2 linked regions of the Diceros bicornis minor genome follow. The protein of the gene in region 2 interacts with the protein of the main gene of each other region in a biochemical or structural test. Links are inferred from orthologs where the notes say so. Each region holds a gene or a part of one and is shown on either strand. Other genes may lie near its edges. The genes, in order: STAT6 and IRF4.

Region 1 (15,928 bases), on a different chromosome or scaffold from region 2:
ATTGACAATTACAGCACAGAACCTTAATGCCTATGGTAAAGGCAAGCGCAGAGGGTCTGGGAACCAGGGCAAGGTACCTATTCCAGATAAGGGGATCAACACAGAGCAGGGCAGATGATGCCAGGCTACATGTTGAAAGAAAGGAAGGAGATGACAAGCAATGACATAGGCATTTACATATGACAAAGGCATAGAGGCATGAGGAGTTTAAAACATCCGAGGAATGGCAAATATGGTGTGGCTGAAGTTTAAGGTACTTATTGGGGAGGGTAATGGATAAGTATCAGAGAGCCTAATCACAAGGGGTGATTTGAGCCACACTAAGGACTCAGAACTTTTTTCTAGAAGTAGTGGGGAGCCAGGTGAGAAATTGATGAAGTCTTTAAGGCATCAGCCATAGAGCTGGAGAAGAAGAGGATTCCAGACTAAGAAGGTAGGCTCAAGTACACTAATTGGTTTATCATGTCGGCCTAGAGGACAGTGACAGAGAAAGCTGGGTCTAGAACCTTTGGCTCAAATTAGAATATTCTCAAATTTTGGCTGCACATTAGAATCACCTGGGGAGCTTTTAAAATCCCAATGCTAAAAACAAACAAAAAAACACACCAATGCTGGAGGACTTATACTACTTGACTTCAGGACTTGTACGCTACAATAAGCAAGATGGTGTGGTACTGGTATAAAGACAACAGAAGAGAGTGCCAGAAATAGACTCACATTTAAAGGTCATTTGAGGGGCCAGCCTGGTGGCATAACAGTTAAGTGAGCGCACTCCACTGCAGCGGCCTGGGGTTCAGATCCCAGGTGCGCACCAACACACCGCTTGTCAAGCCATGCTGTGGCGGCGTCCCATATAAAGTGGAGTAAGATGCGGCACGGATGTTAGCCCAGGGCCAGTCTTCCTCAGCAAAAAGAGGAGGATTGGTGACAGATGTTAGCTCAGGGCTGATCTGCCTCACACACACATGCAAAAAATAATAAAATAAAAGCAAAACTGTTAAAAAAAAAATAAAGGTCATTTGATTTTGACAAAGGTGTCAAAGTAATCCATGGGGGAAAGGAATGTCTTTTCAACAAAGGGTGCTGGAACAACTGAATATCCATATAAGAGAAATAAGTGTACCCTGACCCCTACCTCACACCATATGCAAAAATTAATTCAAGATGGATCATAGATCTAAACCATAAAAGGGGAAATCATAAAGCTTTTAGATGAAAACAAAGCATATCTTCATGACTTGGAGGTAGGCAAAAATTTCTTGTCATGGAAAGCAATAACCATAAAAGAAAAGCACTGATAAAAGAAACATCAAAATTAAAAAGCTTCGCTCCTCAAAAGACATCATTAAGAAAATGAATAAGTAAACCAAACAGGTAAGCAAAACATTGATCTGACAAAGGACTGTTATCCAGGGTATATAAAAAATTTCCTATAACACAGTAATAAAAAGACATCCCAATTTTTTAAAAAGTGTACACAAGACTTTTTTTTTTTTTTTGGTGAGGAAGATTCACTCTGAGCTAACATCTGTTGCCAATCCTCCTCTTTTTTTGCTTGAGAAGATTAGCCCTGAGGTAACATCTGTGCCAATCTTCCTCTATTTTGTATGTAGGTCGCCGTCACAACATGGCTTGACGGGTGGTGTAGGTCCATGCCCGAGATCCAAACCCATGAACCTGGGCCACTGAAGCGGAGCGCGCCAGACTTAACTACTACACCATGGGGCTGGCCCCATGATTTGAATTGAGACTTCACAAAAGAACCTATATTAATGGCCAATAAACACATGAAAAGTGCTCAATATCTTTAGTCATCAAGAAAATGCAAGTTAAAACCACAATGAGATAATTCTCCCCACTCACCAAAATGAAAACTTTAAAAATCTGACAATACCAAATGTTAGTGAGAATATAGAGCAACTGGAACTCTCACACAGTGTTGGTGGGAATGTAAAATGTTCTATCAATTTGGAATAGTATGTAGCAGTTTCTTATAAAGCTAAGCATGTACCTAACCTATGACCCAGCAATTATACTCCCAGTTATTTATTAAAGAGAAGAGAAAACACGCTCACACAAAGATGTCAGCAAAAATGTTCATAGCAGTTTTCTTCATAATAGCCAAAAACTGGCTACAGCCCAGGTGTTTATCATCAAAAAAAGGATGAACAAACTGTTATATCTCTACAATGGGCTAATAGTTAGTAATAAAAATGGATAAACTATGGATACACTCAACCACACAGATGAATCTCAGACATGGTGAGTAAAAGAAGCCAGACATAAAAGCACATCCTGTTTTACTCCATTTATATGAATTCTAGAACAGACAAAACTAATCTATGGTGAAAAAAAATCAGAGCAGTGGCTCCCCCTCGGGGATGGAGTGAGGACAATGATCTACATCTTGATAGGGGTTTGGATGTCATACCGCCACCAAGTGGTGAGGCAGGGATTTGAACCCCGGTGGCCTGGCCCCAGAGGCCACAGTTTTAACCACCACATTACATTGCTTTGCCTCTAGAATGCTGCAGCCTTGGGTGCCATGAGATCACACAGGAAGAGTAGCCCATGAAGACAGGAGACTGAGGAGCACCCAGAGAGGTAGGAGGAAGAGCAGGAGAAAGGGACCATGAACATCAACGGAGGGAGGGCTTACTCAAGAGCCATTAACAGTGCTGAATCCTGCAGAGAGGTCCAGGGAGAGAAGGACAGGGGTGGACCATCATTCTGGGCACCTAGGAGGGTACGTGTGACATGGCCAGAACAGTTTCATGGGACTGATGGGGGCAGCAGCTAGCTGGCGGTGTACTGAGGAGGTGAGGAAGGGAAGACAGTAAATGTGAATAACTTTCCCAAGAAGTTTGGCTGCACAGGGGACAAGAGAGAGAGGCAAGACAGTAATTATAGTGCCAGTTAGAGGGCTGGAATTTCCTTGCAGAGGCTCAATCCTGACCACAGCTGGCTCCATCCAGAGATGCTTGACTTTACCCACCCACCAGGGCTACTACTTGTCCTTCTGTGAGGTGAAGGTCTGTTGGCCACAGAGCCTCTGACAGCCCCAGGGCTTCATTTGGAAGCTGGAGATCAGCTGACTTTGCCATTGCTCACATCCTGTCATCCTTGGCAGACCTCAGTGGGCGTCCACCCTTCTCCACTCAGCCCAGTGCTTCCTCTTCCTGACCACTCTTGCGCTTCTCCCTACCTCCTCCTTGCAGGAAGCCTTGGACCACCCTTGGCTCAGATTGTCCTTGCCCCTCTTTGCTTGCCCGAAACCTGGCTCTTTCCTGAGGACACTTCCTTTAAAGAGATATCACTTATTCTCCCAAGTGCACAAGACGGGTGGTGGTGGGAGCGTGGGCAGTCAGCCCACTCCAGGCTCTCCATTTCCTGTAGTCAGTATGGCTCCACCAAGGTCTCAGTTAGGGATGCATCTAGCCACAAGTAACAGAAGACCCAACTAAATTAGACTGAACAATGAGGAGTTCTACAGCAGATCCAGGGCTCGTGCTTTAGCAAGAATTTTCTACCTCTTCACACTGCTACTCTATCCTCAGTGGTCGATGGTATCTCCTCTCACAGTTGCAACTGGTTGCAGCTGTTCTAGTCCTCACATGTGGACTCGTCATTGAAGAAGAACAAAATTGTACCCAATGGCCCCCTAAAGTCCTGTTGGCCAGGACTGAGTCACTGGCCAGGGGAACAGACAGACCATGATTGGCTAGACCAATTAGATTCATCCCCTGAACGTACGGGAGGGGAATCCCTGTACAAAATCCAGACTTTGCCAGCAAGGGAGAAAGGCTTGCTGCTGAGTAGGCACCAGCAGTGCTTGCCCCGAGAGTCATATTAATTCCTCTTCGTTTTCAGGGCCCGATACTTCACCGTCCATTGAGAAGATGTGTAGCTTACTGCTTACAGCCTCAGTGCCTGCGTCAGACTAACTGAGTTCAAATCCCAGCTCTGTCACTTGCCAGCTCTTTGGCCTTGGGCCGGTTACTTAACCTTTCCACATCACAGTTTCCTCATCTGTAAAATGAGGGCTATCAGTGCTCTCAACAGAACTTTCTGTGATGATGGAAAGGTCCCACGTCTGTGCTAACATAGTAGCCATTAGCCATGTGTGGCTATTGAGCATTTGAAATGTGGCTAGTGCATCTGAGGAACTGAATTTTTTAATTAAAATTAAACAGCCACATATGGTTAGTCACTACCATGTTGGGCACATAGTTCTTTCTCATAGTATCATTGTAGGATAAAATGTACAGTGCTTAGATTTTTTAAAGTAGGAATTGAAGTAACGCATAAACCCTCACTAAATGTTAGTTATCATTCATCCACTGATGTCTTGGTCACTTGCCCACACTCCTTGAAGACTCTGGCATCCGAGTCACTGTCTTCCTGTTCACCGCAGGTCTTCTGCAAACCCAGATGGCCTCAGTGTTCATGCCGGTAGTCCAGCAGCACCCTGGCCTCCTGTTTCCTTGCCCTCCTCAACTCCAGTGACTTACGCCATGTCGCCATAGCCACAACCTGTCCCACACCCTCCCAGGAGGGCCAGACTGAAGTCTCACCCCCTGTCTCTGACCACAACATTCCAACCCTCCAGCTCTTTCTTTCCCTTGCTCCCAGGAAGGTCAGTCTTTAAGTCTGTTGAGACTTCCAGTTCCTTCGCTCTGTTCTATCCTTACCCACTGGCTCCTCCTGTCTTTACTTCTCTTCCTAACCAGCCTTGGATTCCGCCCACAATGCTTCACTTCTACTTCTCCGACAAGCAGTCTCCTCCTCTGTTATGATCAACTTTCTGAACTGTTCTCCTAGCTTCAGACTTACACTTTAAATCCGTCCTCCACACTGCAGCAAGGGTGGTCTCTCTACTAAACCTCATCACATTACTCACCTGCCTGGATCCTCTAATGCTCCCCATCGCCAAGTACTATCCATATCCAGAAGGTACCATGCTCCTGAAGTATCCATGCTTTTGTCCATGCTAGATCTTCTTCCTCGTTTAACTCTCCTCTTGTTCTTTGCCTGAATAACTCCTATTTTTCCTTCAGGATTCGGTTAAGGCATCACCTCCTCCAGGAACCCCTCCCTGATCTCCCCTACCCCCTACCTAGTTTAGATGGCCCATTCTATGTGCTCCCATGGCACCTTGTCCTTCACTGGAATCACAGCCCCAATTATCCGGCAGTATCGTTGTTTGTTAACTAATCTGCCTCCCCCTCTCAGCTGTAAGAGCCAGAGAACAGACACCCAACAAGTTTTTGTTGAATTAAGTGGACATAGATTCTGGGAGGATTGGTTTTGCTTGCTTGCTGTCAGTTTGATTTTACTTTTTTAAAGGTGGGAGGGATTTGAACATGTGTACAGGCTGAGAGGAAAGAGCTGTACTAACTAAGGAAGGAGAGGCTGGAGACTTGGAGAATCGAAGGGACATTTAATGGAACAGAGCCTGAGGAGGCAAGAGGGAGGGGCCCTGAGCACAAGTGGAGGGACGTATTGGGGGCAGAGGCAGAGGCAGAGACACCCTCTCCTCTGAGCCTGCAGGGAGAGTGCGGGTGCCAATGAATGTGTCTGTCAGTAGGGAGCAGGAAACTGGGGGAGTTTCCAACTGATGGCCTCTGTTTCCTCTAATCTAAGTGGTGAGTTGGCATCAAAGCGGATGCGAATTTGGGGAGAATAGAAAAGGCCTGGCAGACAGGGCTGGGTAGGGGTCCACACTTCTTCTGTGACCTTTTCCTTCTATCCCTCAATCCTCCACAAATCCCAGGCCACTGTCCAGTGCTCTGAACAAGGCACCCACTCATCTTATCTGTGAAATGTACTGAGCTCCTGCCATCAATCCATCACTAAGGTCAGTCTTTCCATCAGAGAGTGTATGTAAAACATTTAGCCCAGTGCCATATACATAGTAAGCACTCAGTAAACAGTGGTCCTTGTCACTAGCAAGAGCAGACATTGTCTTTATTAGCTGCACAGCAGTGTGTACAGGGGGATAGGAATCCCCACCCTCTGCAAGCTTATGTTCTTGTCAGAGAAGAAGGATACACCCATAAAATCGTTAAAAAGCAACACAAAGTGATATGTGATGGTCACCAACATCCAAATGGTGCTTTGTTTTTTTGATCACAACCTGCACTAAAAGTGTCTTTTACATCAAGACCTAGAACTCAAATACATACATAAAACTGACACAAGTTTCCTTAGACACTACTTATCCTAACTTTAGGTGATACGTTCTGATATTTGCTGTTCTATTCTACTCTACTTTGTTTAAAAAAAGGGATGGTCAAGGCTCACTGTTATGGGTTGAACTGTGTCTCTCAAAAATTCATATATTTGTATGTTGAATTCATATGTCCCTTGAAAATTCATATTCATATGAGGTGTCCCCAGTCCCTCAGAATGTGACCTTATTTGGAGATAGGGTCTTTATAGAGGTAATCAAGTTAAAATGAAGTCATTAGGGTGGGCCCTAATCCAATATGACTGATGTCCTTATAAAAAGAGGAAATTTGGAGACAGACTGGCATACAGGGAGAACACCATGGGAACATTAGACAGCCATCTACAAGCCAAGGAGAGAGGCCTGGAACAGATTCTCTCACAGCCCTCAGAAGGGACCAACCCTGCTAACACCTGGACTTCTAGCCTTTACTGTGACTAATAAATTTCTGTTGTTTAAGCCACCCAGCTTGTGGTACTTTGTTACGGCAGCCCTAGCAAACTAACACACCCATCAAATTGATTTGTGACTCATTATTGGGTTGCAACCTGCAGTTCACAGATCACAAAGTTCTTTTTTCCTAGTCTTTCTCTCATGCAATCTTTCAGCCACTTGGGGGGATGGCAGGGCCCAGAGGAGGGGAGGCAGGCAAGGCGCTCACTCTCAGGGTGTGTAAGGGGGTGGCATTACTGAAAGTCTAGCCAACCCTGCAATTGCATGACCTGAGATGAGTGCCTCCTTAAATTCCGCACCCTAGACACCTCACCCCAGCTTAGGCCGTGTGAAGTGGATGTAACTGTTGTCTCTGTTTGAGGAGCTGACACACAATCACAGAGCTCTTAAGTGGAGTCAGACCCAAGCCAGATTTGCCTCTAAATTCTGGGTTCTTTCCATGCTATCACAGTGTCCCCATTGGTGCAATCAGTTAGAGAGAATGACAATAAATATTATTTTCCCACCAGTACTGGCTCCTCACCTTCCCATCCCCAAAAGGAGTCAGTTAGAGACTGCGTTCCCTCCTCCCCTCCTCTTGGCAAAGTTCTAGGGAACTTGGACCTCCTGAGCCCCTTAGATGGCAAAGCCTGAATTCAGGCACTGTCTGTGGACGTCTGCAGGCAGCGTGGGCACATGGGAGCACATACAAAGTGTGTGTGCTGTGAGCGCCTACGTGCACACACTGCGACCCTGGCACTGCTGAGATCAGATTCCCCGCCCGCCATCTCCACCCCTACTCTCCCTCCTCTTCCATCCACTGCCTTCCAGACACAATAAACACAGAAACACACATTCCTCCAATAGGCTCTGTCTTTGTGGCGCTAATATTACCCCCAAATCCAGGACCCCTGTGTAGGATGGAGGCCCTTCTGCCATCCTCGTGCTTGGTTTATTCTGGGCTATAAAAATAGTGCCTGCTGTTTCCTATGTGAAGGCACTGTCCTCAGCCTTCACACGTATTATCACATGTCACTCCTACAACCTTATGAGTTAAGACTATTATTTGTTCCATTTTTCAGACGACAAAACTGAATCACAAATTGTAGATTGCCCAGAGTTGTACAGTTAGCGGCGCTGGCAGGATTCAAACCCAAGCAGCCTGTCTCCAGAGTCCAGATTCTTAACTGCTACCCTCTGCTGCCGGCCAGGCCCACACACATGCCCTCCGGCACACACAGGCCCATCCCTACGGGATGGGAGTGGGAGGAGCTGGGTTCTGGGATTCAATTCAGGCACCAGGGGGCAGCATAGGCCTAGCTTTGGCCCCTGAGCCTAGCCCTATTTGGGGAGAACAGAGGGGAGTAGAAACGTCCTTCCACCTCCCACCGCCCCCCAGAAACCACCCTTTCCATGCACCACGTCTCCCAGATTTGGGGATGTGAAGGCCTCTCTGGGTCCCTTGGCCTCCAGCTCCTCCAGCAAAAGCTGCAGAAACCACCCACTAGTAACGATGATGACTCAGAAGCTGGGCAAGCTCTGTGTATGTGAGTGTGTGTCTCTGAGTGCTGACATGTCTGTGAGCCTGCTCGCATGTGTGTGTAAGCATGTGTGTGTGTGTGTGTGTGTGTGTAGCTTGTGACTGGAGAAGTTGTGCATGTGTGTGTGTGTTTCTGGGTGTGTCTCAGTGGTTACCACAGAAACAGACAGGAACTTCGCCAAGGGTGCACAGCAGATTCATATTCAAATTTGTCCCTTGGTAATCTGCAGGCAGCAACTCCGGCTCGTGTCAACTCCCACCAGGGTCTAAGGAGTAGTACCCTGTGTGGAGGGGCAGAGATGGTTTTCAGTCTGCAGGACTCCTTCTGGAGTCTTCCAGAATTCTGAGCTTCGGGGTCCCCTCCCCCACTCCCTCCCATCAGTGGTCACGGGACCTCTAAGGCGTTCACCACCAAGAAGGGAGGAGGACCTAGGAGTTCCTGCGGCGATGAGCTCCCCGGCTGCTTTTCAGGGTCTTCCACTGGAGGGAGCGCAGAGCCCAGAGGGATTTGCTTTGCCAGAGGCCCCGGGGAGTCCAGTCCCTCGTGAGCCCAAACCCTGGGCCACTTCGAAAGTTTGAGTACAGGACAGGCAGTTTGGGGCGGCATGTCTCTGCTTGATATTAGGTGGCTTTCTGGAGAAAAGTTGATCACTTTTGAGGGGGACAGAGTAAGTGGGGATCAGCCTCCCACTCCAGCTTGGCCCCAGGGCCCCAAGCCCCAGTCCTGGCTCCCCCCACCCTGTACACCCTCACCAGGCACAGAAGGCACACATGCTCGCCCTACTTTCTTCCTCTTCCTCCTCCAGCCCACTTTCTCTTCTCTGTGTCGTCAGAGCTCCAGGGAGGGACCTGGGTAGACGGAGAAGCCGGAAACAGCGGGCTGGGGCAGCCACTGCTTACACTGAAGAGGAAGGACGGGAGAGGACTCTGTGTGTGTGTGTGTGTGTGTGTGTGTGTGTGTGTGTGTGTGTGTGTGTGTGTTTCTTTTCGGTGGTGGTGGTGGAGGGGGGGTGCTGGCAGGGCCAGCCCCGAACTCGCTGGACAGAGCTACAGACTCATGGGGCCTGGCAGTGCCCGCTGAGAGAGGGAGAAGACAGCAGAGGGGTTGCCAAGGTGAGGGGATGCCTCCGAGGAGGGCAGGGTGGGGACCCTCTGACTATGAGGGTGTGCGGGGATGGGTTGGCGGGGGGCCTCTCAGGATCCTCCCTGGGCGAGGTGTATGGTCCCCAAGAAATTGTTTCAGGAGCTGGTGGTACTGGGTCTTGGCAGTTTCGAACTCTCAGAGGAATCTGGGGTGGGTACAGGCCCCGCACTCCCACCCCCCATGGGTCACTTTTTCCACACCCCCGCCCGCGCACCTCCGGGGACATGTGAAGACAGGGAAAGGAGGGCAAGGAGGTGCCCCTCTGCCCTCTGGGTGGGGGGAAGTGGCTGCCCCTCCCTAGAAGGTTGATGCCAGAAGGCAGTGGGTCATAGACAAACCCCTAGCCTGTCCCCCCACAAAGGTTCCTGTTCAAGGGTGTGGCTGGGGGGTGAGCGAGCCCCAGATGTAGACCTCATGGTGCCCCAGAGGAGGGGGAATTTCCCCCTCAAAACTGCTCCACGCTTGGCTGCTGTAGACGCCGAGATTTCCCGGCGGCGCCGAGTTAACCCTCCTCGTGCTGAACTGGCTCCGCCTCCCCCGCCCCCTCCCCGCTCCCACCGTCACCGACACACATTGGGCAACTCAGAGAAGCTTTTGACTTTTGATCCTTTGGTCCCATGGCCAGAGGACTCGGGAACGTTGGGGTTGAGGTGATCGGGTTTAGGCCACGAAGCCGGCCGAAGAGGATCCCGGACGTGGGGCTTCCCTGCGCGATTGGGACGGGAAGGCGGGCCCCGCCCCTCCCACCGCGGCTCCTCCCTCTCTGCGGGTCTTGGAGAGGGGCTTAAAGCAGAAGGTGCCCCTGTCCTGGCAGGCCAACCCCCTCAGCCTTGTCATTGGGTGAGGGTGGGGAAAAGTGTGGCCTCCTGACATCTGGATATTGGGGACGGAGTAGGGAAGGGGAGTTGAAGCCAGGGCCATGCCGGGAGGCTGGTCACTCAACAAGGGGATAGAGAGGAAAGGGGGGCTGCCTGCGGTTTAGGGATCACCTCAGTCCCCAGTAGGATAGGGCCAGAGGGTCAAAGGTCTGAGCGCCAGGAGAAGCGGGAGAGGAAGACAGAAAAGACAACGGAGTCCTCCGGTGAATCTGCAACACAGAGCAAAAGGTGCCCCACCCCGAGGAGTGGAGAAAGGCCTGTTGGAGGACCCTGAGCAGGAAGGGGAGGATTCTGCCACTGGGAGAAAAGTGCTGGAGGGGATAGGGACTGGGGGGGAGGGGCAAGAGGGTCTTGGAGCTGGAGTCCCTGAGAAGGGGCCCCTCTGTTCTCCATCCCTTTGGGAGTCCTGGGGAAGGGGAGAGGCTAAAAGTGCAACAGGAGGACTTGGGGTTTCTGGGTTGGGGGAGACCCAGGGAGTTTCCATCCCCATCCTCCCCCTCATCTTTGGGAAGGGACATTATGAGAAACATGAACTGAGAGACCCCTGGGAAACCACTGGTTTACCCACCTCACCTGGCAGCCCACCCAGTAAAACCCTCTCCCCTCCTTCTCCCGTCTCCTCCTTTCCTCCCTCCCTTTCTTCTCCTCTGCCCTTGGCCTTCTAGCTCTCTAGCTTCCTCTCCCCGCTTCTAGGCTCTTCACTCCAGGCTTATTAACCCCACTTTTCCTCCAATATCTCTCACCTTCTTCCTAAGCTCTTTCTACATTCCCCTTTGCTCCACCTCCCCTTCTTCAGTTCTGCTGCCACACCCCCTCCTCTTAGGATGACAGGATTTGCATCTGGAAAGCATCCTAATGGCACAGTGTGGTGGTTAATTCTCACTCAGATCCATATCCTGATTTCGGAACTCACTTGCTGAGTGGCCTTGGCACGTTAGAAAATCTCCTTGAGACTCGGTGTCTTCATCTATGAAAGAGGATAACTACCTATTTTAAAAATTATTGTGAGGTTTGGGGATAACACCCTTAGTGTAATGCCTCATACATAGTAAGTGCTTAATAAATGGCAGCTATTATTACTCTACTATCCTCTTCTTCATCGTCTAGCCGTGTAGTCTTCAAATTATCTCATGGAGCCCTGGAATTTTGAGGGGTTTCTCAGGGACACCTTTGAGGTCAAGAGGTGGGGAGAGGGGAGCAGTAGCGTTCCTGGCCTACCACACTTGCTTTCAACAGAGAAAGTCCAATCTTAAATAATTGGGGTTCCACACATTAAAACTAAAATTGGCTACTGCTTTAAAAAGTTTGGAAAGTTCTGCACTTATCCAAGCCTCATATTTTATAGATGAGAAGATCGGGTCCACAGAGGGGAGGCTCCTTGCCCACAGAACCAGAGCCAGCCCTAGAGCTGCAGCCCACATCCTCTGCATTCTCTCAGAGAGCTTTCCCTACTGCCCCGTCTCCATCGTCTCCCACCCCGCTGGCTGCGGCTCAGCTCTTCCCACCCCATCACCCCTGTGTCTACCCTTGAAGGGATTACCTTGTCTCAGGCGTTGACCAAGGATGTCCCTGGTTTGAGGTGGTCTGGCTGTGAGTGGTGGTGAGGGTGGTCTCTGGGAGGTCCCTGGCTGCCCCACAACATGGGCCAGCTTTCTTTGGCACCTCTCAGAGTGGCCTTGTTCCTTTCCTCCAGGCACCCTCCTAACCCCAGATCATGTCTCTGTGGGGTCTGGTCCTCAAGATGCCCCCAGAAAAGCTGCAGCGGCTCTATGTCGACTTTCCCCAACACCTGCGGCATCTTCTGGGTGACTGGCTGGAGAACCAGCCCTGGTGAGTCCCAGCTGCCCCATGCTCATCCCCCAGGTCCTCCCCCACCCACCTTCCCCCGCATCAGATTTTCTCCGCCCCATTTCGGGACTTGGGACTCACGGATGGTGGCCTAGATTTAGCGGGAGTCTGTGCTGCATCAACCAGACTATGCCTATTGACACATGGAGTCCCTCACCCCCTTAGGAGGCAGAGCCAAAGAGCACAAAGTCAGGGCTGGGGCAAGGGCACTTCCCCTAACAGTGGAAAATTAGGGCACAAGGAGCACGGATGAGGGCTGCAGAGGATGGAGAATGGGGGTGGAGGGCTGCTGAGCTGTTTGCTGTGGGGTGAAGGGTCAGTGGAGCTGAGGAAGCCCTGACTCGAGGCTGCCTCATCCTGATCTTCCTGCAGGGAGTTCCTGGTTGGCTCAGATGCCTTCTGCTGCAACATGGCCAGCGCCCTACTTTCCACCACTGTCCAGCGCCTTCAGACCTCAGCCGGAGAGCAGGGGGAGGGAAGCGCCATCTTGCAACACATCAGCACCCTGGAGGTGGGGGCAGGAGGGAAGGGACAAGGCTGGGGTGGGGCCAGAGTGGAGCTGTGGTGAGCATTGGATGCTGGAAGAAATTGGTTGGCTGCTGGAAGCAAATTGGTGTTCCTGTGGTTAGCTGTTAGCTAGCATGCAAATTAGATTTTAAAAGCATGCAAATACATGAGAGCTTCTGGAGTCTACAGTTACGCTGCCTTTCAGTGTGTATGTGAATGGAGGGGATTGAAGTGGGAGAATGACATGGCTAAGAGCCTGGCTAACCCTGTCCACCACCCTTCATTTCTATAGAGCATATATCAGAGGGACCCCCTGAAGCTGGTGGCCTCTTTCAAACAAATACTGCAAGGAGAGAAAAATGCTGTTAGGGAACAGGTACTGTGTGATACCCACCTCCCACCCCAACCCAATTCTGGTACTTTAGCTTGAGCCATGAGAATTCCCTCTAAACGGAATTTGAACTTGAAGAAAGGCTCAATGTTCTAGGCCCAGGATGACTAAAGGAGGTTCCTGGGGTCAGAGTAAACCCCAAGCTAAGCTCAGGAAAACTTCAAATGAGGGACCGAGGGTAGCGAGGTCTGGGGAGGAGAGAACAAGAGATAAAGAGTTGATTCTGCCAGAAGAGAGGTCTTATCCCCAGGAGATTCCAAAAGCTCAGGAAGAACTATCAAAGGGGAGAGGAGAGCCAGACAAGGGAAGTGGTCTATCTCCTTTTCTGCAGAGCATGGCTGTAGGCACCACTTTAGGGAGTGGAGGCCGGGTGTAGAGGGATGGGCAGAGTGTCTCACCTCTTGGCATCTGTCTATCCTGTGCAGTTCGGCCATCTGCCAGCACCCTTCCACTGGAAGCAGGAGGAACTCAAGTTTAACACAGTCCTGCAGAGGCTGCAGCACCGACTGGGGGAAGCCCGCCTACTCCGAGAAGCCGTGCAGCAGGAGGCTGAGGCTGGCCAAGGTGTGGGCCTGGGCCCAGAGCCCTAAGAGGATTCTGGGGAGTGTGTGGGAGGGATCGCCTCTTGGACCTCAACATTGACTGAACCTCACATTTATCTGCATCCCTGATTTCTGCCCCTAGTGTCTCTGCACAGCTTGATAGAAACTCCTGCCAATGGGACTGGGCCAAGTGAGGTGAGTAATGACCTGAGAGGTGGAGATGAGCTCAAAGTGCGAGCTTCAAGGGATTTCCGATCTGTAAGGGATGGAGACTGAGCCTCAGAGAGACACAGACTGATGTGGGGTCAGGGAATGCGGAGACATGAGAAAGAGAGTGCTCCCCTCAGGAGCCGGGGAAGGAGGCAGTGTGTGGCCCTAGCTCAGGCCCTCCCTGCCCACAGGCTCTGGCCACGGTGCTGCAGGAGACTGTCGGGGAGCTGGAGGCTGCCAAGGCCCTGGTGCTGAAGAGGATTCAGATGTGGAAGCGGCAGCAGCAGCTGGCAGGGAATGGTGCCCCCTTTGAGGAGAGCCTGGCCCCACTACAGGAGAGGTTGGGGCAGGGCTGACGGGGACGGAGAGTGGGCTGGAGGTGGGCACTTGCTATCCCTGCTGGAGGCCCCCCAGACATGAGAGAAAAAGCCAGGCAAGAAGGCCTTGGAGGGGGCCAAGACTCAGAGGAGCCCGTTCCCGCAGAGCTGTGCCAACTGTGGCTCAGGTTGCCACCTGTATAAGTGCGCCTGGCTGAGGGGGCACCAGCAGGCGTTCATCCAACCCATGCTTTTCTCTTCAAGCCCCATGCCCAGAGGAGTGGGAGGCCTTTTTCCATTTGGTCTCCTGGGCGGGGCCCCTTTCAATTTGCGCAAAAAGCACCATACGGGCTGGCAGCAGACCTGGGTATCAGAGCCCTGAGGAAGAGGCCTCTGGGTTTCCACAGGGGGTGCAGGCATTGAGAAGGAACCTCCCACCCAGAGCCAAGGCAAGTCCCAGAACCCCTTCAGCTCAGGCACGGTGCAGCCACACCCACTGCCCCTGCCACCCCTCCACACACACTCTCCTGCTCTCTTCCTGGGTTTAGGGGAAGGGGGTCTGGGCCGCCGCAGGCAGCCTGAATCCTGTGCCCCCTGACCACTGTCCTGGCCCCAGGTGTGAGAGCCTGGTGGACATTTATTCCCAGCTGCAGCAGGAGGTGGGGGCAGCTAGTGGGGAGCTTGAGCCCAAGACCCGGGCAGCGCTGATTAGCCGGCTAGATGAAGTCCTGCGAACCCTCGTCACCAGGTACGCCGGGGAGCCCTCAGCCTGGCCTAGGGCAGACCCCAAGGAAGGAAGAGGGCAGAGTTGTGGGGAGGGCACCAGGAGGGACTCAGCTGCCAACTCCCCTTGTGTCCTCCTCACTCCTCCCAGCTCTTTCCTGGTGGAGAAGCAGCCCCCGCAGGTTCTGAAGACTCAGACCAAGTTCCAGGCTGGGGTTCGATTCCTGCTAGGCCTACGGTTCCTGGGGGCCCCGGCCAAGCCTCCGCTGGTCAGGGCTGACATGGTGACCGAGAAGCAGGCGAGGGAGCTGAGCATGCCCCAGGGGCCTGGGGCTGGCGCGTAAGCTGGGGCTGGAGAAGGCCTGTTGGGGTGGTGGAGGCCAGAGGAGCCGGGCCCCACAAAGAGCAGGTGATGGGGAGGGAGGGCCATGGGATGTGAGACCTGAATGGTCAAGGCAGCCCATTCCGCGCTGGAATGGGGTGGGAGCATCACAATTTGGCCAAGATGGGGACTTCTCCCTTAAGAACTTAAGCGAGGAGATGGAGATTTGGGGCCCGTAGTCCACGCCATTCACCCGTGGACTCCAGCTCTTCCAGACACCTGGCCTGCATGGGCTGAGCCTCTCTGACTCCCCTGGCAGAGAAAGCAGTGGGGAAATCATCAACAACACCGTGCCCCTGGAGAACAGCATTCCTGGGAACTGCTGCTCTGCCCTTTTCAAGAACCTGGTGAGGCTTCAGGGAGCAGCGGGCAGGGAGGGGGGCAGGGGTCCTCAGACTATGGGACTTTCCTTGGTGAGGGAGTTGGGAGCCCAGGAGAAGCGGTCTCTGCCCTCACCCCTCCTCTCCCTCACCCCACCTCACAGCTTCTGAAGAAAATCAAGCGGTGTGAGCGGAAGGGCACTGAATCTGTCACCGAGGAGAAGTGTGCGGTGCTCTTCTCCACTAGCTTCACGCTCGGCCCCAACAAACTCCCCATCCAGCTCCAGGTGAACCGAGGCCACAGCCCTGCCCAATCTGGGGCCCCACGTCCCCCTCCATGCCACACACTGGGGCCCTGGATCCTCACTCCTCATGACTGTCCCATACCCTGGGTGTCTGGGATTTATGCCCACTGGGGCCAAGGTGAGATGGAAGGAGCAAGAACATGGAGTGCACATGCCAGGT
Region 2 (16,154 bases):
AATTCTGAGGTTTCTTTGTAAACATGCCACGCAATACAAATCTTAAGTAATGGTATACTTCTTCAATACCATAAGCCAAGAGTGGACTGAACATGACTAGAAAAAGGGGGATAGGCCACATTGTGAAGGAGTCAATATTCCTAGAACATACAAAAGGACCTGTGCTTTGACCTATCGCAGAATTTCTATTTAAATAACTAACTCAGAAGTCCTAAAAGCTTGTGTTTTGCTGTATTGACTACATCCTGTGAAATATTTTCTGCTCTTAGCTAACTAGCGCTTCTGCTGGGAGCTCTCACCTTGCGTCCGGGGCCTCCCGGGGCACGGGGCCACCTCTACTCCGGAGGGGGCAGCTCTTAGAGACCCACCCCCAGCACCAGGCACCCTGTGGAGACTTTCGATGTTTTTATCCTCATGTTTGTTCCCTCCCTTCTTACTATCACCTTTAATCCTAAGAACAACTACATAGGCACAGAGCCCAGTAATCTCCTGGTGTCCCTATAGAGGGAGGCTGTGGGCACAGCTGTAGCACACCCCCATTTTACAGATGTGTACACAGAAAGAGACCGGTGATTATATGGCCCTCAGTCAACACTGAAGCGACAATCCAGGAGGGCAGACTGCCAAAATTTACTACTTTTTGCCCAAGAGTAAAAATAAAGCTTAAGATTATTGAAGGAGGATGAAAAATGTTAACCTATTAAACAGATAATTTAAAAAATATAGCCAACCACTTTGACATCTGACTTCCCCTGTCTTAAGCGGAAGGCTGGGCTTTGGGGTCAGGAGATCTGACATTGAACCCCAGCTCCGCACTCTCACTGGGTAACTGTGGGCACATTACTTACATTCTATGAGCTTGCCTCTAAAAAACTGCGGCAGTTTTTAGCTGCCTGGAATGATCTCCGCAATGTCTGAATAAGATCCCACATAAGGCAGTTTCAAACACAGGTCCCAGCACACAATAAGCCAGCCATCGTCAGTAAACCTTGGCGTCCTTCCTCTGAGGACCTTACCATCCTGCATGAGAGAGAACACTCTCCCTCACTGCACAGGAGGTCTTTCCTAGCAGCTCTGAGAAGGAGAAAGAGCCGTGTACTGCCCAGAAGGACAGCTCAGGAGAGACCAGGGCCCTTTGCTTTGCTCTGCTGGGTCAGTGGCAGCCATGGGAGCCAGCCCCAGTGCACTCCTTACCATTTTCACAAGCTGGGCCTTGCCAGTGGTGGCTTCGGGGTCCAAACGTCACAGGACATTGATACGGGATTTCCGGGTGTGGCTGATCAGGGACGTACTCCCTCCAGCTTCGGTCGTGGGGGGGCATCATGTAGTTATGAACCTGCTAAAGGAACACGAGGGAGGAGCTGAGATGCAAAGCAACCAGCTCAGCAAAGAACAGCTGTTGGCACTGGGAAAGGGGCACAGATTCTTTTATATCCTCCCCAACTCCTCAGGGAATCTCTTATTTGGCTGGCAGCCAAATCATTTTATCACCAGGAAAGACTTTGGAGTGAATCCCTCATCACACTAGGTGGAGATGAGCCACAGGGAGTCAAGGCGCACAGTGAAGCAGTGTTGTAAGGCTGTGATCACACCGAGCTGCATCATGTGGTTGGAGCCAGCGCAAAGCACTGCAGGGCATGTGCCTTCTCCACTCACCAAAGGGAACAGACCAGAGCGCTGGCACCCTCAGGAGAGTGTGAGGGGTCAGCTGCCCTGTGGTTTCACATGATAAAACCACTACTTCCAAAATCTTCACCTTCCACAAAAGGTCTGTTTTCCAGCAGATTTCAGAACCAGTCATAGAAGTTGATACCGACAGGCAGGCCCCCGTGCCCCCCTCAGAACCAACACTGATTGCAACTCCAGGGGAAAGTGAGGCATCCATTCAATGACCAGGGCTTTGCTTTGGTTGTCGGACTAGTAGCAACAACAAAGCTCTGTGGCCTCTGCGCATTTCTCCTGCTGTGTGGGCCTAGCCAGCTCACGTGGCCTCACAGAGATCCAGCCTGCCTTCTGGAAGCCGTGTCTGAGCCCTCCGCCTACCTGAGCTGGGAGTGAGGGGTAAGGAGCCGTCATGGTGTAGGGGTGGCTCATAGTCATCTGGGGGTCCTCCAGTGTGAGCTGCTTTGCTCCTGTGTATTTGGGTGAAAGGGAAATGGCACAGTGTGAAAAAAGGACCTAACATAACCAAAGCTCAGATCTTAGAAAAACACCTGAGGGTTTAATTCTCACAAGGCATAACACAGTGTTGACGAGGCATTTTTCAGCAATTACCCTGGGCAATTATTTGTTCTGGCCGTTAAACTGATTTCTACAAGGTCTGACTTACATAGGACTGGTAGAGAAATCAATGCAATGCTGTGGTGGATACACCTTGCGACATAAAGGGCCCCACCAGCAAGATGTTCCCAAAGTGAGGTCACCTGGATGGTTTGTTTAAAATGCAGATTCCTGGGCTCCACTCTGACACACTGGTCAGAATCTTGGAAAGCGGGAATCTGAACTTTAATAAGCACCCCAGCTGATCACAGTACACTCTAAAAGTTGACATTTTATTACTATAAATAGCAACAATATATGGATGTATCGACGCTTCTCTTCTACAAAATGGTTAATCATGAAAGACTGATAGGTAAGTAAAGCTTCGAACAAGCTTTCCGTCTTTTGTTTGGAAATTTGGCCCACATCTTGATAGAACTGTGTGGAAACACACAGACGTGCACACGCAGGCGCACCCAGTTAGAGACTTGAAGCCCGACAAACCACCCCGCACTAATGCCACAAGAATGTCAGTTGCGGCCCAGAGAACTTGGGCTACGGCCTGCCGGGCTTGGCCCTGGGCCAGGAGGCAGGCAGCCTGTAAGACCAAAACAGGAAAAGTGGCCTTCGGAATGAAATCAAGGCCTTACAAGTGTCAGGCTGCCCATATTCTGGGACCCAAATCCAAGAAGGCCCACCTTTTTTGGCTCCCTCGGGAACAATCCTGTATACTTTATAGGGGTCTGAGATGTCCAACTGGCTCCTCTCAACCAGTTCCTCAAAGTCATTGCTCTTGTTCAAAGCACATCGTAAACGTGTCTTCCAGGTCGGGGGATCCGGCTTATCAATGCCTTCTCGGAACTTTCCTTTAAACAGCGCCCAAGCCTGGTGGGAAAGAAGAGGCAAAATAGTTAAAATACAGATCTTTTAAAAAAGAATCTAGGAATTGCATTTCTAAAGGAAAGAATGGTGCTTAGGTGCTTCAGATTTACACTGTTGCTCAAAATGTGAGACAAAGAGACCCCAGGTGTCCTCCAGGTAAAATACTTTCCACCCTGGACCCTATCATCGCTGAGCTGAAGGCAAGTGGTTTGAACATTCCCTCGGTATTTGTAAAAGACAGGTGAGATGTGGAGGACCGCTGGAAAGGCTACCCACCCAGTGTCTGAAGCAAGTTTGATTGGAACTAGGGACAGAGCTGTGGCTGAGCTGCTACTTGTAGAGCACATGTGGACAGTCAGACCATCTGAGGTCTCGTGAGGGCAAAGTCCCTGAGGAAGTCCCCGTCCCTGCTCTGCCCACAGGTGGTGGGGCTGGGCCCTGATGCACAGTTCAGTGGGTGCACTGCTCTAGGGAGAACCGTCATGAGAGGGACACACACACCGAGGGCAGGAGAGAAAGGTCCAGAGAGAGGACAGCGAGTAAGAAGAGAAAGAGAGAGAAATCCAAAGGGGGTGGGGAGGAGAGAGGGGAAGAGAGAGAGTGACAGAAAGAAAGAGAGAAACACACAGTAAGATGGAAAGACCCAGAAGGAAAGAGAGAGAGAGAGAGAAACTCAGAGAAAATTTTCCAGAAAGACTTGGAAAGAGGGAGTCAGACAGAGGGAGACAGAAAGAGGAGAAGCAGATGGAAGGACTCAGCTAGAAGGAGAGAGCACGTGCCAGAGATAGAGACAACCAAAGGAAAAATATCCAGAGAGAGAGAACAGGAGAGAAAAAACAGAAACAAATACAGACTAATGAGAGAGACAGAAAAACAGACACAGACTCGAGCACACTCCGGGTGCTCCCAGAAAGAGACAGACACACACACTGATCAAAGAGGCAAGGAGGGATCCAGAGGGACAGAAAAAGGCTCCGATGAGAACAGTAATGCACTATAACACCCAAGCCAGCGTCCTTGGACGCCGCTACCCGGGGTTAGCCTCCAGGCATTTCCCTGCCGCTGGAGCCGCCCGACTCCCTGGGTACTGCTCACATCACACACTCAGGATTGGGACCCGGTCCCCCCATTTGTGAAATCACTAGAGTAGTTGACACCTCTCTCCTTCTCCCGTGGCTTGGGCCGATCGCCACCTGATGCTCGCGGGCCCCTCGCCCTAAGGGGCACACACCGTCCCGCGCACCCCGTGTGGTCCCCTTCCCTCTGAGAACCGCCGGGCGCGCCGGCGCGGGCCGGCCTCGCCGCGGGGTGGGGGTTAGGGACCGTCCGGGCTCTCCGGGGCCCTCTCCCATCCCGACCGTGGGCTCCCCGCGGGCTTGTAACCTTGAAGAGGGCGGCGTCCTCCTCACGGTTGTAGTCCTGTTTGCCCGCGTGCTTCCAGGGGATGCGGAAGATGCTCTTCTCCTCGTTCTCCCACACCAGCCCTGGGTACTTGCCGCTGTCGATCTGGTCGATCAGCCACTGGCGGAGTTTCCCGTTGCCGCAGCTCACGGAGCTCATGCCGAACTCTCCGCCTCGGCCGCCGCCGCCCTCCAGGTTCATGCCCAGCGCGCCGACTGTCGCCCTCACGCGCTCAGGATCCGCCTCCGGCACTCGCTCTGAGCTGCAGGGGAGAGGAGGGCCGCCTTTCAGCCACTGCGGCACAGCGCTCGGGGCACCCTGTCCCAACCCCCTCTGGTAATGACCACGAGGTGCCGGAGTCTCCGAGGCAGCGAGGCGCGCGCGCTAAGAAGTCGGTGTTGCCAAAGGCCCTTAGGAGAAAGCACCTTCTCACTTGGCCCGGGCTCGTGCCCTTGGCGCGCACAGTCCTGACGCCTCCCGAGCGCGCCCTCCGTGGAGTCCATCCTTCTACCCCACCTTCTGAACTTTCCATTCTTGTTACGCACCCCACAGCCCAAGTGCTGCCCGGACACACAACTCTCGCCTTTGCGCACGCTCCCAAATCCAGCCGCCACCACTCTTGGCACTCCGTTTGCACGCTCACTCGTAGTTCCCGCTCCTCTTAGCCCAGTCCCAAGCCGACGCCAGTCCATTTCCCCCTTCACTGTCAGTTTCCACTCTCGCCCACTCCCCAATTCACACTCCCCTGATGGCCCCCGTGCGCCAAGGATCTCGCACGCGGGTTCGCCTGCGGTCGGGGCGTTCCAGGTGCGCGGCACTCAGCAACTCCTCCTCCGGCCTTCTAGAACCTCCCGCACCCGCACTCTTTGTTCCAAGAATATCCCTGAGCCCTCGCCAGATAGCAAGGATTAAGTGGGCCTTGGAAGCAACAAGCGATAGACACCTGGTCTTTGGTGAGGAGCGCTGCCAAGTAGCGGGAGATTCCGGGACGCCGAGCGTCAGCCGGACCCAGAGGCCCGCGAGGAAGAGCGGAGGCAGGGAGGGTGCCGGGGAGAGCGAGGGACCGCAGGGCGCAGCGCCCCGAGGAGCCCATATTTGGAGCTCCTTCTCCTCCTCCACCACTACTCGGGGGGCAACGCGCCGGAGGCCGCGGTGAGTTTGGGCCCCTTAAGAACGAGGAGCAAGAGAAGGAGCCTCGGATTGGAGCCTCGGGAGTAAGGGACTGTCCCCCGCGGGAAAGCCCGCCACCCCGTGTGGGTCCCTTCGACTGCCCCGCTTCGGCCACTCCTGGGGCTCTGACAGTCTCGTTATCCCGTCCCGCGCGTGGCCTCCCCCGGCCCGGGCTGGGCCGACTGCAGAGTGGTGGGGCCGCGGGAGCAGGGAGAGACGGCGGGAGTGCTCGGGCAGCGACCTGGGCGACCCTCCACCGAGCCCGCACAAAGGCCCCGGACCCAGAGCAGATAGGGGGAGTCGGGGATCCCTCAAGGGGCGTGCTCCCTCCCGGCTCCGAAGCTGGGGTCCCCTGCGCTGCCCTGGAGATGGACCCCGGGACCTCTGGTCTCGCGCCCCCGGTTCTCTGTCGTGCCACCCTCACATCTATGCTGCTGCCCGACCCCAGACCTTACCTCGCCCCGACTCGGAGCTGAGGGCAGCGGTGGGTCCTAAGTTCAAGCGGTGAAACTAAGATTCAGAGGTGGGAAAGAGGAACTTTATAGAGCTTAAAAGCCGCGCTGGGGGCGGAGCCTGCGGCGGGCGGGGCCGGTTGCGCCCGCGGGGCTGGGGGGCGGTGCGCCGCGAGAGGAGAACGAGGGCTCGGCGGGCGACTCCCAGGGCCCGGGCCAGAGGAACGGGGTCCGGGGGGGTTGCCGCCGCAGGCTGGGGGCTCCGGCGCCCTCGGCGACCCGCCTCGCGCCGCGCAGAGCGAACGCACCTCGAGTGGGGCTCGCGCGGCCTCGGGGACCCTCACTCTGGGCGGTTTCCTGCGAAGGACAAGGCGCGAAATGGGGACCTCGCCTCCGCGCCAGGACCTGCGGGAGGCCCGTCGACAACTAGTAACAGCTAAAGACAGCGACACGGTTAGGGCGGGAAGTGGGGGGCGTGTAGGAGCGGGAATCCGGTGCGAAGGGGACTTCGCTTGTGGAGCACGTAACCAAAGACGGAGGAATTGTCCACATCGAGGAACTGTGGGTGGGTGGGTCACACCCAGCGAGGGGTGACCCTCGCTGTCACCGAGAACCCTGCTCCTCCACGGTCTTTAGAGAACATCGTGCTCATTAAAAAGAAAAAAGGAAATGGCCCAGATCCCTTGAGCCATAAACTGTGGTTCAAATACTGTCCACATGTTCGAAATGCTTACACGCTCTTGCATCTATTAAACTGGTGAATTGAGGTGACTCAGATAGACAATGCATGACCCCCAAAGTTTCAATTATGGCAACATGAAAGAGTTGGGGGAGGGATCCCGAAGTATCCCAGCGCTTAATTGCTTCTGCACTTCAGTTCACTTTAACTGACATGGTTTTAACCTCAACCTGGTAGGAAGCAATCTGGGGTATAAATGTCCGCAACAGGAGTAACATCCAAACGGACCTGCAATTTTACTTAATTTTCTAGGATGCCCTTATTATCCAAACTAGCTCCCTGACCACTGCGCTTTCGCCGGAGCGTCTTGGATGCTCCGAGCATGTTTACGTACTTAGCGATTGCAGGTAAACCGTCAGATCAGCGGTTTCTATATGATTTTAGACCATCGCCACCGCAGGTCAACTTGCAACTTTTGAAAAGCTTTTGATTTCACTTATTTCTCAGTTTTTCTTTTAATCTTATATATTGGGTCAATGTCTCCTACCCAAAGAAAAAAATAGGGTTAGGCTGGAGCAAAACAGGCCGTGAGTGAGGCACAGACTAGAAATGCTTTTCCTACAACTAACGGACTTTCTCAGAAATTCACAGGATGCCATATTTTTATTCACCCAAGTAAGTTTTCCATTATCAGAGTCTGTGTAATAAACAACAGGGTTTTGTTCAAAGAAAATTCTGGTTACACCCTGTTTTTCTTCTCCTTTCACAGATTCATTCATTCCACAAACATTTTTTGCGCACCTGCTGCTTGTCTGGAATGGTTGTAGGCACTGGGATACTCAGTGAAGGAAGCAGAGATCATGCCTCCATGTTGCATTACATTTTAATCAGTGAATTACTTTTCCCCAAGGTGTTCACAAACAACAGACAGAAGGAGATTGCTAAAAACAAAAATGGCAAATGAGAGCTTTTAGCACTTTCGCACACGTGTTCTCTGCACCAGCTTTAGTTAGTTTCAACATTTTCCTCAGTCATCTCCTTTTAGAAGTTCAAAACAACACCGGCTGTATGAAACTTTCTGAGACTTTACAACATCTACCTTGTTTTAAAATGTGATTGCTAATCTTCAACGCCATCTTCTGGTTTATTCATTGTCATATTGATCTACTGGAAGTGATTTTTTTTTTTTATGATGAGGTGAATACAAAGAATAATATATTTTAATCACTAAAACTCTTGATGTCCTCATCACTCCTGGGGAAGGGGAGGGAGTGAGCAGGTAGGGGCTGCCAGTTGCTCACCAAAGACATCTTAGTCACAGTCGAAAGAAAAAGGACAAAAGTTTTTAAAGTTGACCTTCCCCCCACACACTTGAGAAATCAAAGTGTTCCTCAGTAAAAGATAGATAGTTATCTTCAAATGTCACAACTTGTTAAAAAGTGCAAACAAATAGGAAATCAGTAAATTGAATATCTACCTAAGACAAAGGCTGATCATGATATTCTGCAAGGAGGTTATTTCAGTGAATGGTCCAGATGTGGAAATGCCATTGTAGGTGGAGCCCAATCTGAACAGAGTGCTGCAATTTCCAATTCACATTTATTGTAAAGAGACTATAAGAAAAGCTGAATTTACCTAAATTCAATATTTTAAAAATCAGTCTTTTAAAATTTTACATTCACATGTAAGAAAATATTTTAGAAAAACCCATACTAGGCACAAAAAATAAATTACTGAAACCCTGTTTTGGATAAAAGTATTTTCTCACTAATTCATTCTTTGAAAGGGGAGAGTACTACAATTTGTTAAAAACAATGCAACTATATCCGTGAAAAAGGTTAAAGGGCAATCATTTTTAACTACCTGTAAAAAATCAGGAAAATACTAAAAATGTTATGATGTAGTTCATATGGGATAACTATCTCCTCTAATGCTCTTTGGCTATATGTGTGTGCAATGCTAATTATTATCATTGACCATGGTATCTTGTATGGCAGTACTATTATACTATTATTGTATTATTATATTATTTTATAAATAGTAATATATCTACGTAATAGAGTAATATACAATATACTATACTAGAGTAATATAGTAATATACTATAGTATGTACTATACTATACAATGTACTATAGTACTATATAATATTAGTACTATATATATTATATTATATATATTATATATATAATAAGTACTATAGTACATTGTATGGTATAGTACTAGTACAGTGATATATACTACATATTAGTAGTATCTTATAGTATTGTATTTAGTAGTATTATTGGATGGTATTATTGGTAATTAAATGCTCAAATACGACAGTCAGCTAGACCTGGTTGAAATCCGTGAGGTCTTGGGTGAACTATTTAACCAAAGTCTTACCTTCCCAGGTACAATGAAGGCAATGGCTTTCTTGCCTCCTCGTATGCTGTGATAACGAAATGATGCTTAGCACAATGCCTCACATGTTCCAAGTGTTCAACACATCGGGACTATTATCATTTATGTTTTGCTTCAACATTTAGGAAGACTATATCTCATTTGATCTCCCAACCCCATCTGCCTGGAGGCAGGGCAGGTGATATTCAGCCCCATTGTACAGATAAGGAAAGAGATTCAGAGATTCACTGAGGTCCGGATGGCTTGCCAAGGACACCTTCTGACGAACTGTTCTTTTTCCTTTCTACGGGTATTTGGCTGCCTGCTGCACTGATATTTCAGGATCAGCCTGCGAGTGCAGGCCTGTGGGTCTGGAGGTGGCGTCCTGACTCCAGTCTGGCACTCAGTGGGTAAGTCAGTGTGGGTAAGGTGCAGTCTTCTGACCTCGTTCTCCTGTCTGTGAAGTGGAGGTTGGCAGTAGGCAACCACTGAACCTTCTTCCAACCCTAAATCATTGTTTTCTTCTTTCTGCTCTAACTTAAACTATTATTGGCAGCCAGTGGCCTTGTTGGTTATGGTAAATTCAGAGTAAGAAAAGCGGCATTTTTTTAAAGCCACTGACCTAACCACTGATCTTCTCTTTGCTCTTCTTCTCAAAGCAATATTCACTTTGAGGAAATTGGAGGAAACAGTGCTGATTCTCAGCCAGTTTAATCCTCTGAAAAAATCTAACCTTCTATGCTACTAATACAGGGGAGGTTTTGGGATGGAATACTCTGGAAATGAGTATCGTTTATTATGAGTAAATGCTCTCACTGCACACCCAGTTTGAAGAAGTTGAGTTGAAGTTTCTTTGTAAAGTGATAGATTTTTGACAATACCAATATGGCACATAAAGCTGAATTTTTTCATGCAGAGCTGTATGTACTTTCCTAATTTAATTCACCAAGTGCTCTGAGTTTCTTCCATGAAAGAACTTTGCAGATCTGTAGCGTTAAGCATTCCGAGAACACAGGCTGTTCAGGACTAGTTAAACTCTTTTAGGCCACAGAGCTAATACACATGGCTTTTCCCCAGGCACAGAGTAGAATCCACTTTCAGGCTATGGGAAACTAGACTTGTCATTTTAATCAATTGTGTAATAAAAAGTCACGAAGTCAAAGACACTAAGGCAATGTTGTCTCTTTTCCCTTTGTTTATAAACAACTGTTCTGTTTATCTCCTCTTCTTGCCAGTATTCTAAGAAGTCTCCGAGGAACATTCTCTTTCTGGCTTATTATGTTCTCTACATACGTAGTGACGTGGCTTTTAACAAGGGACCACTTGATACTGCCAACTCCCTTCACCAAGCCAACAAAAATGCAAATGGTTTGCAATAACTTTGGGCAATTTTCTGAAAATTGAAGCAGTAGGTGAAAAGCAAATGGCTTTATCTGAATCCACCCATTTGTGCAGTTCAGAATGTTGGGGTGTTCTAATGTTCATCAGCTGTCATTTCAGCTGGACATTGTGAGACGACACACCATCACTTGTCACAGATGAAGTATTACTTCTGAGACCCGAGGATACCTTGGGTGGTGGAGTGCATTTTCAGGGAAGGGTAGACGATGCTCCAGAACAAGCCCCCGTGTCTCAGGGGCTGACAGCCACACAGGGCTGCTTCTTGTTTACATGAGCTATTTATTGCTTGTCATCACACTCTGAGAATCCAGGCCGACCAAGCAGCATCTATCTAGAACATTCCTGGTCACAGCGTGTAGAGAAAGGATACAGGGAGAACTCTGGGCTGGTTCTTTAAGCTTCGCATCACCATGACTCATATCCCCCTTTTGTGAGGTGAGAACTGCACTGAAGGAAGAGCAGCCTGGCAGTAGCGTGGGGAAGGTGGGGGGAAGAAAGGCCTGGAGCCCAGAGAAGACTCAGGCAAGAGGCAAGGAGCTGGGACGGGGCGGACAGAGAGGCGATCAGAGGAGGCAAGGAAGGGTCACAAGGGCTGGGTGGATGTGGGGTGAGGAGGCAGGAGGTGAAGATTACTGGGGAGTTTCCAGGCTGGGAGACTGGGCGATGGTGTGACCAAGAACTTAAATAGAGAAGTCTGGAGGAGGAACAGGTTTATGGGGACTAGATAGGGGGTGTTTGAGATGACATCCCAACATCCAGTGGGATGGGTCTTGATCTAGGTGGGTGCTGTGGCTCCTTTGGGCACGGTCCCTCTGCTCCTTTAGCGTTTGGAAACAGAATTGTCTCTTGATCATCTTTGAACCATGGCATCTAAAAGTGCTGAGCGGCTCCTAGCAATGAGCTCTAAAAATGAATATGTCTTTCCTCTAAGGGCATGCTTTTGGTGACAAAAATACAATGTGACCCCAGGCCTCCCCGAGCCTGTAACTGGGGGCCGCAGCAGACCCTGACATGAAGGTTAGTGGTGGGACATTTATTAGGGGGCGCTGTTGGCCGAATAACCATGGAGTCACAGGGAGGAAGCAGGATTGGAGGAAGAGAGCTGAGATGCAGCACCCTACCAGAAAGCCCCGGTCCACACTGCAGAGCTCTGGAGGAGGAGGAGCCTGCTCTGTCGGAGTTGGCGTGAAGCGAGAGGCCTTTAGTCTGTGGGCTAATGAGTCACAGTGCAGGCTGCCCCTGGAAGGAGGCATGAAGTGGGCAAGGTGGTTTTCTTTACCTGGAACAACCTCCTGAGAGGGCTGCCTGCTGAGAACCATCTTCCAGGAACAGCCCGAGAGCAGGGGAAGTGAATCTCTGCTCTCGAGTGGGGATCTGAGCAGCACCTGGCGGCATCTCCCTGAGGCTGCTTCTGGCTCTGCTTTGATCCACTTCATTTTATATGTCCTGGGAGCAGCTCCTCCAGGCTTCTAGTGGTTTCTCTTCCTGGAGTAGGGTTGTCAGGTTTAGCAAATAAAAATATAGAACTCCCAGTTAAATTTGAATTTCAGATAAACAATGAGTAATTTTTTTTAGTGTATGTTCCATGTGATACTTCAGATATACTAAGGAAACTATTCATTGTTTACCTGAAACTCAAATTTAACTAGACATCCTGTATTGTATCTCGCAACCTTGTCCTGGAGGAAACTTAGAAGAGGAAGGTTAGTGGGACAAATTACAGCCTGCCACTGTAGCTGGTTTTGGGGTCCCAGCTGAAATTTATCTATTGTGCTTCCTCCTCTATCCTTTCCAGATCGCTTCACTTTTACCAAGCAGCTCTGTTGGGCGAGTGGCTGGCTTGATGGAGAGCCCTAAACCTTCATTTCTAAGGGCTTTAACCCCTGGTCACCATGTTGTTAGTGGTCCAGGGGTGCTGCACCCCCACTTACTATTCGCCATCAAAACTGCACAATGGGGGGCCGGCCCTGTGGCCTAGTGGTTAAGTTCGGTGTGCTCCACTTTGGTGGCCTGGGTTCAGTTCCCGGACGCAGACCTACACCACTCATCAGCAGCCATGCTGTGGCAGGGACCCACATACAAAATAGAGGAAGATTGGCAACAGATGTTAACTTAGGGTGAATCTTTCCCAGAAAAAAAAATGCACAAGGGAGCATAAGAGGAGCCCAAATGGGTCACTTGAGTACAGCCCTATTGTATGACAGCAGCCCCCATCTCTGACAAGCAGGGTCAAGATGGTGACTTCTCACCTGCTGGCCCTGGCCCCAGGAGCCTCTCAGGTGGCTGCCCTAGCTTAGAGCTCAGTGGTACTCCTCTGTCTCCTGGAGGAGAGTGTCGCCTTTAGAACCAGGCCCTCTAACCTCACAGAGCCCAGCTTTGGAGATGAGAAGCACACATTCCCCAAATGGCCACTGGGAGTGACAATAGTGGGGCTGCTCCTAGTTCCACCCCTCGGCTTCCTGCCTTGAGTGTCCCACTGAGGACAGGGACGAGATGGAGGGTTCTCATTCAGGGTGGGTACTACATCCTTCCATCCTTCTCCCACACCCACCCTGGCTGTAGCAGATCCACCTTACTTAGGCCATTGCTTTCTCATACTTCTAGGCACCATCCTACCTGTGTGTTTCCAGCATCTCCTGTGGCCTTACTGGGTGTCCCATCCTGTCTCTCTTATCTGAACCTCCTCCCACTTTGCCCAACACTCTCAGAACCCAGTCCCACGAGTGCCCTCCTGAGTCCTGCCATACCTGTAGTTGGTGCTGTGGTTCCTTTGGGGCACCATCCCTTTCTCCCTTAGCATGCCCTGCACATCCCCAGCCAGGCTATCCAGTCCTTGACCCTGGTTATTGGCCTGGTGGCCAGCCGGGAGTGATGGGGAGAGTCTGAGGGAGGGCACATGTTGTCTTGCAGAAGATAAGCCTCTCCATCGTTTCCAAATGAAGGGAGTGCTGGCCCTGGATAGGAGGGAGAGCAACTTCTGCCAGCTCAGAGAGCTCAGGGCAACCTGGAGACTCAAGCCTTCCTGCAGCGCTTCCAGCCACCGAGGGAATAAATCCTTTTTTCCTCAAGATGACCTGGCATGCCTCCCAGCGTGGCCCATGGGGACTGAGGGTGGTGCATGTGGCCTCTGGGCCTCAGTGTGCTCATCTGTTCAATTCACCAACTTGTTCCTTTTTTCTTTTTTGCTGAGGAGGATTAGCCCAGAGTTAACATCTGTGCCCATCTTCCTCTATTTTGTATGTGGGATGCTGCCACAGTGTGGCTGATGAGTGGTGTAGGTCCACGCCTGGGATGCAAACCAGCAAACCCTTGGCTGCAGAAGTGGAGCATGCGAACTTAACTACTATGCCACGGGGCCGACCCCCGCCAACTTGTTCCTTTTAATTGTGAAGCCTTAGGCCAGTTCCCCCCAGTCTGTTGGAGGGGATGGCCACATTGGAGGTTACTACACCTCTCAGTGAGATAAGGGTGGAAAAAGACCACACGCGTGGCTCGCAGGACCCAGCCCCATGCGGCAAGGCTGCTGGGAATTTGCAAGGTTTAATGGGAAAAGTGACATTAGGACAGAACTTTGGTGGAGGGCTGGGCCTCTCCTGGCAGGCAGGATGGAGGAGCACTCCACGTGGGGGAGCCCTGGGCAATGACAAACAGGCCGGGGAACTGAGGCCTGCTGTGGGAGCCAGAGGGACGCTGCGTGAGCAGCTGTGCCTGGAGTGGGTGCGGGAGAGCTGCACTCCACCGTGTGGGGAGGATTCGCAGAGGGTATTTACAGTGGAGATTGCTGGTTCCTCCTGTGCTCCGGGCTTCATATGTTAGAACGGCCTCTGACACAGCGCTCTAAGTGCTTTACACGCATTAACTGATTTTATCAAGACAGTCGCTAAGTTTAACTTAGATATTAGGCCACTCAAAAAGTCCTCTTTCAACTCCCCTCCACATGTTTAGCTTAAAAAATCTGAACATATTTTCTTTTTAATGCTCTAAGACTGTCGTTTATGGATGCAGCTGATTTGTCCTGTTTCAGAGTGTGAGACGGCTGCCCACGCCACGTCAGGGGCAGTTTGATTTGGACGGGACCTTAGATTTGTGTTCTCCACCTATCCTGCAAAGCCCCCAGCAGCCGTAGAAATGGATACCTTCAGAAGTCTGATGTGGAATTCCTGCTTTGCATCTCTGAACTGGAACAGGGGCTGGCCTTCCAGGAGCCTTCTGCTGCTCTCTGGGGATCCCCACAGGCAGTGTGGCACGGCCCGTGCCCACACACCCACCAAGTCATCCAAGCCCGGGTACTCTGCGGGGACACGCAGGACAGCACAAGGCCTGCCTCATCTGCTTTGGATGCCCAGCCTGCTCCCCAGATGTGCTCTGACCGTGGATGAGAATTTCTGCCCTTTCCGAGCTCACCAGCATTCATGACGGCCTCCCACTCAACTCTCGTCCACCAGCGGCTGTGGGCAACATGGGGCCTCATTTCCGAGACTGCAGAGGGTCTTTGAGACACGTTTGAAGATTGCTTCCTCAGTCGTTTTACTATAACCCAGCAGGGAAGTGACGCAGGCATTGTGATTCCATTTTACAGAGGAACACATGAGATTGAGAGGTTATTATAAGTGACTGATGTCAACAGAACGAGCTGGGCGGTGAGGACAGCCCTCAGCCACACGCCTCACTGAGGCCTGAAGCCTCCTGGCCTCTGACTTTTCACCTGGCCTTTCTGCCGGTCCCCACCAGGGGCATCACTGCGTCCACCTCCCCTTGCTCCCTCTCCCACATTCAGGTTGGTCCCAGGGAAGCAAAGCCACACAGACTTGGCCTGGCTTGTGTTTGCCTGTCTGGCTTCCACCTGCAGGCTAGGCTGCTGCCGCTTCTCTTTTTCTCCCTAACTTACTCCTCACAGCCCACTAGGCCCCATGCCTTTGCCCCACTTGCCTCTCACCCCCACCTCCCTCCCCTGTGGAGAAGATGAGGTGTGAGATGAGACTGCCTGGACATCTTCCCTCCCACCCTCTCCTCCACGTCTTAGAGGTTTCTGTCTCCATTTGCAACTTGTGGATATGGCCAAATGAGGGAATAAAGGAGGCACCGGCATGAGTCTTGTTCTGTCTTCCTCTAAGCACCCTTGCACAGTCAGGCCCAGGTGCTTGCTCAGATTCATGTTTTGGACTTCACCTGGCCATTGCATCTCAAACTTTCGAGGTTCTGAAAGGGTACATATGAGCAGGGTAGTAAGACGAGCAACAGGACTCGTGGGCCCGTGGGAACAGACACACATCGTGTTGGTGGCATTCAACTGACAAGTTCAGTCTGGACATTGCACAAAACATTTTGGCATTCTTGAATGGCGTATGTTGTTCTAAGTTGTTTCATAGGCTTATCAGACAGCGCTAGATAATGGTACTTTACGTGAACAGTAGAGGGTTTTAAGAGGATGGCTCTGCTCAGAAATGTCTGAGACCCCCAGTGGAATGTGAGCTCCCTCCCTCTCCTCCTGCTGACCTGAGTGCCTCAGCTGTCCTTCTCTTCTCCCCC

The links.
Region 1: the proteins of IRF4 (region 2) and STAT6 form a complex in vitro, tested with the Homo sapiens proteins (2 studies listed by BioGRID). The link is inferred for Diceros bicornis minor from reciprocal best matches to the Homo sapiens genes IRF4 and STAT6.

Annotation. Positions count from the first base shown.
Region 1 is NC_080756.1:11,779,049-11,794,976, forward strand, and holds the start of STAT6 (signal transducer and activator of transcription 6), read left to right. Parts: upstream 1-9,169; 5' UTR 9,170-9,314; intron 9,315-11,916; 5' UTR 11,917-11,937; coding exon 11,938-12,053; intron 12,054-12,443; coding exon 12,444-12,582; intron 12,583-12,870; coding exon 12,871-12,954; intron 12,955-13,394; coding exon 13,395-13,533; intron 13,534-13,653; coding exon 13,654-13,706; intron 13,707-13,912; coding exon 13,913-14,061; intron 14,062-14,654; coding exon 14,655-14,786; intron 14,787-14,912; coding exon 14,913-15,101; intron 15,102-15,402; coding exon 15,403-15,490; intron 15,491-15,627; coding exon 15,628-15,750; intron 15,751-15,928. UniProt on the Homo sapiens protein: Carries out a dual function: signal transduction and activation of transcription. Involved in IL4/interleukin-4- and IL3/interleukin-3-mediated signaling.
Region 2 is NC_080753.1:65,925,655-65,941,808, forward strand, and holds the start of IRF4 (interferon regulatory factor 4), read right to left. Parts: upstream 6,209-16,154; 5' UTR 6,168-6,208; intron 4,805-6,167; 5' UTR 4,744-4,804; coding exon 4,525-4,743; intron 3,145-4,524; coding exon 2,958-3,144; intron 2,133-2,957; coding exon 2,044-2,132; intron 1,340-2,043; coding exon 1,195-1,339; intron 1-1,194. UniProt on the Homo sapiens protein: Transcriptional activator. Binds to the interferon-stimulated response element (ISRE) of the MHC class I promoter. Binds the immunoglobulin lambda light chain enhancer, together with PU.1.